Callithrix jacchus: one gene and its partner. The protein of the gene in region 1 purifies or fractionates together with the protein of each later gene. This does not show direct contact. Links are inferred from orthologs where the notes say so. Each region holds a gene or a part of one and is shown on either strand. Other genes may lie near its edges.

Region 1 (3,746 bases):
CCGGGCTTCCGGGCGGGCTGGAGGGGCGGGGCTTTGCACTCCGGCCACGCCCCCCCCTCCCCGGCCCCGGCAGCGCGAGCAGGCTGGAGCCCCAGGCTTCCAGACCCGCAGCCAGCCGGGTGGGTGGGAAGGAGAGTTTCACTTCCTTCCCTCCTGGGGCCAGGAAAGCACCCCGCAGCGGGTAGGGGCGACCTCAGGGCTTCCACGTACGCCATCTCACAGACACGCTACAGAACCACCCTGCATACACAAGAGACGAGCCGCTGAGGCCCCCTCATCCCTTCTTTCCCCTTCCCAATTATTTCCCCCATACAAAGCCCCCTCCCAGGTTATCCCTGTCCCCCGCCCCACAGTGATCTGTCTTGGGACACCCTCCCGTCCTGCCCTCCCCCCGCAGGTGGGGACTCAAGAATTATTCCCCCCAAAAAGACCCTTTCTAAACTTGTCCCCATTCAACGAAGCTGCCACCTGAGGAAGACGCCCCCGTCCCCACCCCAACCTTACCACGGAGACCCCCACAGTGACTTCCCCAGCCCAGGCACCAGGCACTACCTCTGAGAGCCCACACAACAACTCTGACGCGCAAGGGGGCGACCCTCTGAGGACTCCCTCAGACAACCCGCCCACCCTCCAGGGGAGACCAGGCCCCCCACCACTCAAAACGTGCTTTCTCAAGACTCCCCTCACCACCCAATACACAGAGCGCCACTGTCACACATAGGGTGACACTATGAGTCCCTTCGCTGATACTCCTGGCCCCTACCCAGAGGGAGACCATCCTCAAAGCCACCATCACACCTCCTGGGACACCCAGGCTCAAACCCAGAAAGACTCCGCGCTTCTAATGAAACCCACCACCACGCGCGCCCTTGAGGATGACCTTCCCCCGCCTCTGGCATCTCTGAGACCCCCTCTCAAGACCACCTCGCCCCAAGGCGACCTCGAAGTTCCCTCAACTTCCCCACTTCTCAGGAAAGAGAGACTGGGAGAATGCAGCAGAACTCCCCGCACAAGCAAGTCCCCTCCTCACTCCGCCCCCGCAGGGAGAAGAGTACCACCTCTCCCTACACCATGCCCAAACCTGAAACTCGGGACCCTGGACTGGGACGATCTCCGAAGTGCCAGCTCAGGGAGTCCATGAAAAGATTCAACGAATGGAATGAACCCCTTCCCCAGCTATAATCCCCAACCGTCAGAAATAAGGGAGGCTATCATTATTTACATTGCCCGTGCCCGGAAGGGAAACTGAGGTTGCGCAGCAACAATCCGAGGTGTTGGGTCTCGAACCGAGATTCCGAAGTTGGACCCAAACAGGCCCAACCAGAACTCGGACACCGCCCCCTACGGGGCGGCACACAGGGGGCCAAGGGGCGGAGCATATGGACCGGAAGCTGCCTCTGCCCAAAACCAAGATGGCTGCAGAGAGGACGGAAGTGTCTGCACTTCGGGCCTCCGAGGCCTCTCCTTCTCCCCTGGCGGTCCCGCTCTCGATGGTGACGTGACGGGGGCGGGAGTGGCGGCGCGTTCTCCTCAGCTGCGAGGCAACCAGCCAGCGAACCCAGGCCTGGAGGGGGTTCGGCCTGAGGGGGAGGGAGACTGACATGTCTCTCGAAGACCCCTTTTTTGTAGTCCGAGGGTGAGTGACAGCGACGGGGGCGGGCGGAGGGTGCTCAGTCCCCAAGTCAGCCAGTGCCCGGGTGCTGGCCCCAGCATGCCAGGCGGGCTGGGCAGGGCCGTCGGGGTGCAGAGTGGGAGGCGCAGGCAGGGGGATACTGGGGTCTCCGGAGTCCCCCATGCGTTTGGGTTTGCAGTCGGGGGCAGAGGCGGGCGGGAGGACCGCCTGCCCCCAGCCGCGCCCGCCGTGCCCCTGCCCGCAGCGAGGTGCAGAAGGCGGTGAACACGGCCCGCGGGCTGTACCAGCGCTGGTGCGAGCTCCTGCAGGAGAGCGCGGCGGTCGGACGCGAGGAGCTGGACTGGACGACCAATGAGCTGCGGAATGGCCTGCGCAGCATCGAGTGGGACCTGGAGGACCTGGAAGAGACCATCGATATCCTGGGGCTTTGGGGCGGGGGTGGCATGGGAGAGCCCCCTGCGGTGGTAGGGGCCTGGGAGGTCGCCCTCGGGAAGGGCTGGACCCCTAGGGAGGGAGATGATGTCTGGCTCTGGCCTTGACCCTTGACTCTCAGCCCACGCATAGTGGAAGCCAACCCAGGCAAGTTCAAGCTCCCGGCCGGGGACCTGCAGGAGAGAAAGGTGTTCGTGGAGCGGATGCGAGAGGCCGTCCAGGTGCGCAGAGGTCCTGCAGGCGGGGTCTTTTCTCTCTTTTTTTTTGAGATTGAGTCTCACTCTGTCGCCCAGGCTGGAGTCCAGTGGTACAATCTCAACTCACTGCAACTTCCATCTCCCGGATTCAAGCGATTCTTGTGTCTCAGTCTCCTGCGTAGCTGAGACTACAGGAGCCCGCCACCATATCTGGCTATTTTTTTGTGTTTTTAGTTAGAGACGGGGTTTCACCGTGTTGGCAAGGCTGGTCTCGAACTCCTGACCTCAGGTGATCCACCCAACTTGGCCTCTCAAAGTGCCGGGATTACAGGCATGAGCCACGCCCAGCATGAGTGTCTTTCCTCCCTAATGCTGTCTTCACCTCCAGGAAATGAAGGACCATATGGTCAGCCCAACAGCCGTAGCCTTTCTGGAGAGGAATAGCAGAGAGGTAAGCCTTCCTGAGCACCTGGGGGTGACCACGCCGTTGAGTACGAGCCAGATCCTTCTGCGTGTGTTCACCTGTCCCTTCTGTGACAGTGCCCATCCTGTGTGCAGTTGTCTTCTTGCTGTCTACCTGCCTGCACTTCCTGGGTGTGTGCACCTGAACCTCTCTGTGTGTGTGTGTCCATGGGTTCCTCTCTACTGTCTCCTCTGGCTGTATCCTGGTTTCCTATTGCAAAGGAGGATTGGAGGCCTGTGTACCCCTCTCCTTTCTGCTTCCATACCATTTGTCCTGTATACAGCTGTTTCCAGGACGCATGCCTGCCTTTCTCTCTCTCTCTTTTTTTTTTTTGAGATGGAGTCTTGCTCTCTTGCCCAGGCTGGAGAGTACAGTGGCTCAATCTTGGCTCACTACAACCACCGCCTCCTGGGTTCAAGTGAGTCTCCTGCCTCAGCCTCCTGAGTAGCTGGGATTATAGGAGTGCACCACCACACCCTGCTAATTTTTGTATTTTTAGTAGAGACAGGGTTTCACGTTGGCCAGGCTGGTCTTGGACTCCTGACCTCAGGTGATCTGCCCACCTTCACCTGCCAAAGTTCTGGGATTACAAGCATGAGCCACCATACCTGACCTGCTTTCTGCATTTTACAGATGAATACACTGAGGCACAGAGAGGTCAAATAATGGGGTCCCTGGGTCACCTTGTTAGTAGGTGGTGAGTGAGGATTGCAGGCTGTCCCACGCCAGACTCTGCCTCCCTGACTCAGCACCGTAGGGCCTTGCCTCACACGCCCTACTGTAAGTTGGTGTCCCTCCCCAAGTCTGTGTTCTGTGTCCCTGCAGATGCTGGCGGGCAAACCAGCTGCCCAGAAGTCACCCAGCGACCTGCTGGATGCCAGCGCCATCTCGGCCACATCTCGCTACATGGAAGAACAGCAGGCCACACAGCAGGTTTCGGGGCAGGATGGGTAGATCCTGAGAGGGAGGAGCCTTGCAGACCCATCTGAGGTCTGAGGTCCCTTTCTTTCTTCTTCTTCCT
Region 2 (3,746 bases), about 29 Mb from region 1:
GCCCTGGGGCTGACTTAGCTGCTCCCTCCAAGCACACGGTCCAGTACCCACCAATCCCTGGGCCAAAGGGAACAGACACTCAGAGCCACCCAGGAAAACCATCACCAAAAACCCAGCTCGTGGTCCCACCCCCAAACACAGCACTTGAACTTCTCCCCTTATGAAGAAAACACACACATACCCCCTCTCCCTCCTCTCAGCCTCTAAAAGAAAACATTTTTCACCTAATCAATATGGTCCATCAGCCCCGGATGTTTCCCCACACCAGGCAATTCCCGGTCATGTTCTTCAAGTTCTTTTGCTAAACATTATCCAACCTCAAACAAGGGGCGAGGCCCAGAGCCTTTTCCCGTTCTTTCCTCTCTTGGAAAGATCCCTCCACTTCGTGTCTTACCAGCCTCTGCCAGCTTCCTACCATGGTCTCCTCCGATCCCCAGGCCCTCCCCCCAACCCCCTTCTCCAGCCTTCTGCAGACGCTCCCAGTCCTACCACCTTCCCCAGGCTCTGCTTCTGAGTGGCTACCACACATCATCCTCTCTACAAGCCCACTAGTCCTTTCCCAAGCCTCCTCTCTGTTCCCACAGCCTCCCCTTGATCCTTTCAGGACCCCCCATCAGCGCAGATCTCACTCCCCACCTCCCACCCCCTGCCAAACCCTCCCCAGCTCCCTTCTACTTCCTCTGCCCAGAGTCTCATGTGCCTCTCCACCCTATTAAGTCCTCCTGGGTCCCTCTTGTGTTTTATTTCAGCTCCTCTTAGCAAACTCATGCTTCTCCATCTCTCCCTCTTCTGACCCCTCCCAGACCTCTCCGCTCACACTAACTTTGAACCCCTCATCCCTCTGCACGCTCCAAATCTGTTCCTTCTGGAAAGTCACATTAACAACAGCTAACATGTTCAGAGACGTTAACTCCATGCCAGGCTCAATCCTAATACAGCAAATCGCAGGTAGGTTTGGTTCGAGGTCTCCTTTAATGGGGAGACTGAACAATTTACCCAAGGTCATGAAGTGGCAGAGCCACATTTCAAACCTGGCCTCTTGACACTCCTAAGCCACTAGAATTTCTCAGAGGATGGCTGTGTCGCTTTTAGGAGCGAATGCGAGTTTTATGCCATGCCATATGCATTAGTTCTGTCTCCCAAGCCTCTTCCCATCCGTCTTCTCACCATGTCCCTGTCATCATCATCACCATTACTTGAGGATCACACAGCAGGCCTCTGATCCCCCGTTTTGGTTCTTTCTGTCCCTCTGTCTCGCCCTGTTACCCCTCCATCTCCTTGGCCAAGCCACCACCATGTGTTCCCCCACCCAGGAGTCTTTAGCCTCAACCCAGGCCTCCTCAGTCTTTTTGTTTTTCTTTGACATGGAGTCAGTCTCGTACTGTCACGCAGGCTGGAGTGCAACGGTGTGATGTCGGTTCACTGCAACCTCTGCCGTCTGGGTTCAAGTGATTCTCCTGCATCAGCCTCCCGAGTAGCTGGGATAACAGGCACCAGCCACCAGGCCCAGCTAGTTTTTGTATTTTTAGCAGAGAAGGGTTTTCACTACGTTGGTCAGGCTGGTCTCCAACTCCTGACCTCAGTGATTTGCCCACCTCGGCTTCCCAAAGTATTGGGACCTCCTCACTCTTGGCTCCATCATGCGGGTTCCCTGGTTCAGCTGTCTTTAGTCACTGCTAACCAGGGCCGGACTCAACCTAGGCACCCCCCAACACACACTTCAGATGTGTTTCACCACTCCTAGGATCACCAAATTCCCGAGACCCTCCGTCTGGTGTCAGCCTCCTTCAGCCATCACCCTTACTGCCCAGGACCCCCCACAAATCCACTGCCCTGGGGGACTGGAAAGGTCAGTCCCTCGGGCAGGGCGTCCTCAGTCCCAGGACCCATCACGCCGCCTGAGAGCCTTCAGACAGATGCCCCTAGAGCTCCGAAAGGCCTCCGACCTGCCTACTCTCCCGGATTCCCTCCGTCCCCCCCAGGCCAGTCCCCTCCAAAGCTTCAGGACGTATTCCCTCGGTCCAGGTTCTCCCTCGGCCCCCTGGCCTGTCTTTGGCCTGAGTCCCCTTTCTCGCCTCAAGACAGTGTCGCCTTGGCCCGTGTGTCCTCAGCCCATGTCCCTTCCGCCATGTCAGACCGTCTCTCTTCAAACCGTGTTGCCCCGGCCCGAGCCCTTGGCCCTCAGTCTGTGTCCCCTCTGCCGCCTCAGACCATATCACCTCATTCCAGGTTCCTCTCCGTCCCCTCGGCCCGAGCCCTGCGTGCCTAACCCGCCGCCTCCGGCCGTGACTCCTTCGTCCTCTCACCCTAGGTCCCGGCCGACCCCTGAGCCCGGTTCTCACCCAAAGAGGCCGGAGAAGAAGGACTGCGAGTTCTTCACTTTGCGCTCCGCCTCGGCCAACAGCGCCATCGCCTCCGCTTCCTTCCCGGAATTGTCCATGGCGACTACAAAGAGACTCAACAAGGCGCTCAACCCCGACCCTGGGAGGACTCAGCCGCGGCCGGGCCGCGGAAAACAGGTCGGGAAAGCTCGACCTGCTGCGTTGACGTCGCACCGGTGCGCGCTGCTGCAGCCCGGAACCACGTGACTCGCGCTGGCCAACCAGCGGCCTCGTAGCGCGGCGCCCGCTCCGGCGACCACGCCCCAACCTGCCGCACGCCGCCAGTGACTCAAGACCCCCCAATTGGCGTCCCGAGACCTCAACGCATGCGCACACACCCGCGAACGGTGCCCCTGCGGAAGGCAACGGCGGAAGGCAATGGCAGTTCGCACCGCCGAGGCCCCGCCCCACGGTGCTGAAGCTGAATCCTCCTTCACCAATCAGCAGAAGCCCTCGACTCGCGTTGTGCGCCCCCCGCCGCGGAAGTCCGGCGCAGTCAGCTGACCGCGGACACTCACGTGACAGCTCGGGGTCCACGCCCGGATTTGACGGCTCTGCGCAGAGCTTAGTCCCGCCCCCTCGGTTAGTTTCGCGGGTTTCTTCACTGGGAAAGCCGTTTGGAGGAAAAGGAAACAGGACTACTTTTTTTTTTTGCTCCCTCTCCCGGCCAATACTGGAACTGCTTCGGGGAGACCAGTGAAGTAGTTCAGAGACGGGAAACAAAAACTTTAGAGATCCTTTAACTCTCTGGCTTCAGAAAAAGTAGCTGAAGAGGGCCGGGCGCGGTGGGTCACGCCTGTAATCCCAGCACTTTGGGAGGCCGAGGCGGGCGGATCACTTCAGCCAGGCCAACATGTCAAAGCCCTGTCTCTACTAAAATACAAATAGGAGCCCAGCATGGTGGTGCACGCCTGTAATCCTGGCTACTCGGGAGGCTGAGGCAGGAGAATCACTTGAACTGTGGAGGCAGAGGTTGCAGTGAGCCGAGATCGCGCCACTGCGCTCTAACCTGGACGACAGAGTGAGACTTCGTCCCAAAAAATAAATAAATAGGCCAGGCGCGGGGGCTCAGGCCTATAATCCCAGCATTTTGGGAGTCCAAGGTGGGTGGATCACGAGGTTAGGAAATCGAGACTATCCTGGCTAATCACGGTGAAACCCCATCTCTACTAAAAATACAAAAAATTAGCTGGGCGTGGTGCTCAGGAGGCTGACGCAGGAGAGTCGTTTCAACCCGGGAGGCAAACGTTGCAGTGAACCGAGATCGTGCCACTGCACTCCAGCTTGGGAGACAGAGTGAGACTCTGCCTCACAAAACAAAAACAAAGAAGGGTTTTTACTTCCGGGACCTTCCAATCTAAGCAT

What was found. The genes of interacting proteins can lie anywhere in the genome.
Region 2: the proteins of STX10 (region 1) and NAPA purify together in Homo sapiens (affinity purification with mass spectrometry; 3 studies listed by BioGRID and IntAct, with this or other methods). This does not show direct contact. The link is inferred for Callithrix jacchus from reciprocal best matches to the Homo sapiens genes STX10 and NAPA.

The regions. Positions count from the first base shown.
Region 1 is NC_133523.1:11,969,700-11,973,445, reverse strand, and holds the start of STX10 (syntaxin-10), read left to right. Parts: upstream 1-1,489; 5' UTR 1,490-1,601; coding exon 1,602-1,636; intron 1,637-1,877; coding exon 1,878-2,047; intron 2,048-2,191; coding exon 2,192-2,286; intron 2,287-2,650; coding exon 2,651-2,713; intron 2,714-3,550; coding exon 3,551-3,658; intron 3,659-3,746. UniProt on the Homo sapiens protein: SNARE involved in vesicular transport from the late endosomes to the trans-Golgi network.
Region 2 is NC_133523.1:41,452,985-41,456,730, forward strand, and holds the start of NAPA (alpha-soluble NSF attachment protein), read right to left. Parts: upstream 2,592-3,746; 5' UTR 2,441-2,591; coding exon 2,343-2,440; intron 58-2,342; exon of another isoform or gene 1-57. UniProt on the Homo sapiens protein: Required for vesicular transport between the endoplasmic reticulum and the Golgi apparatus. Together with GNA12 promotes CDH5 localization to plasma membrane.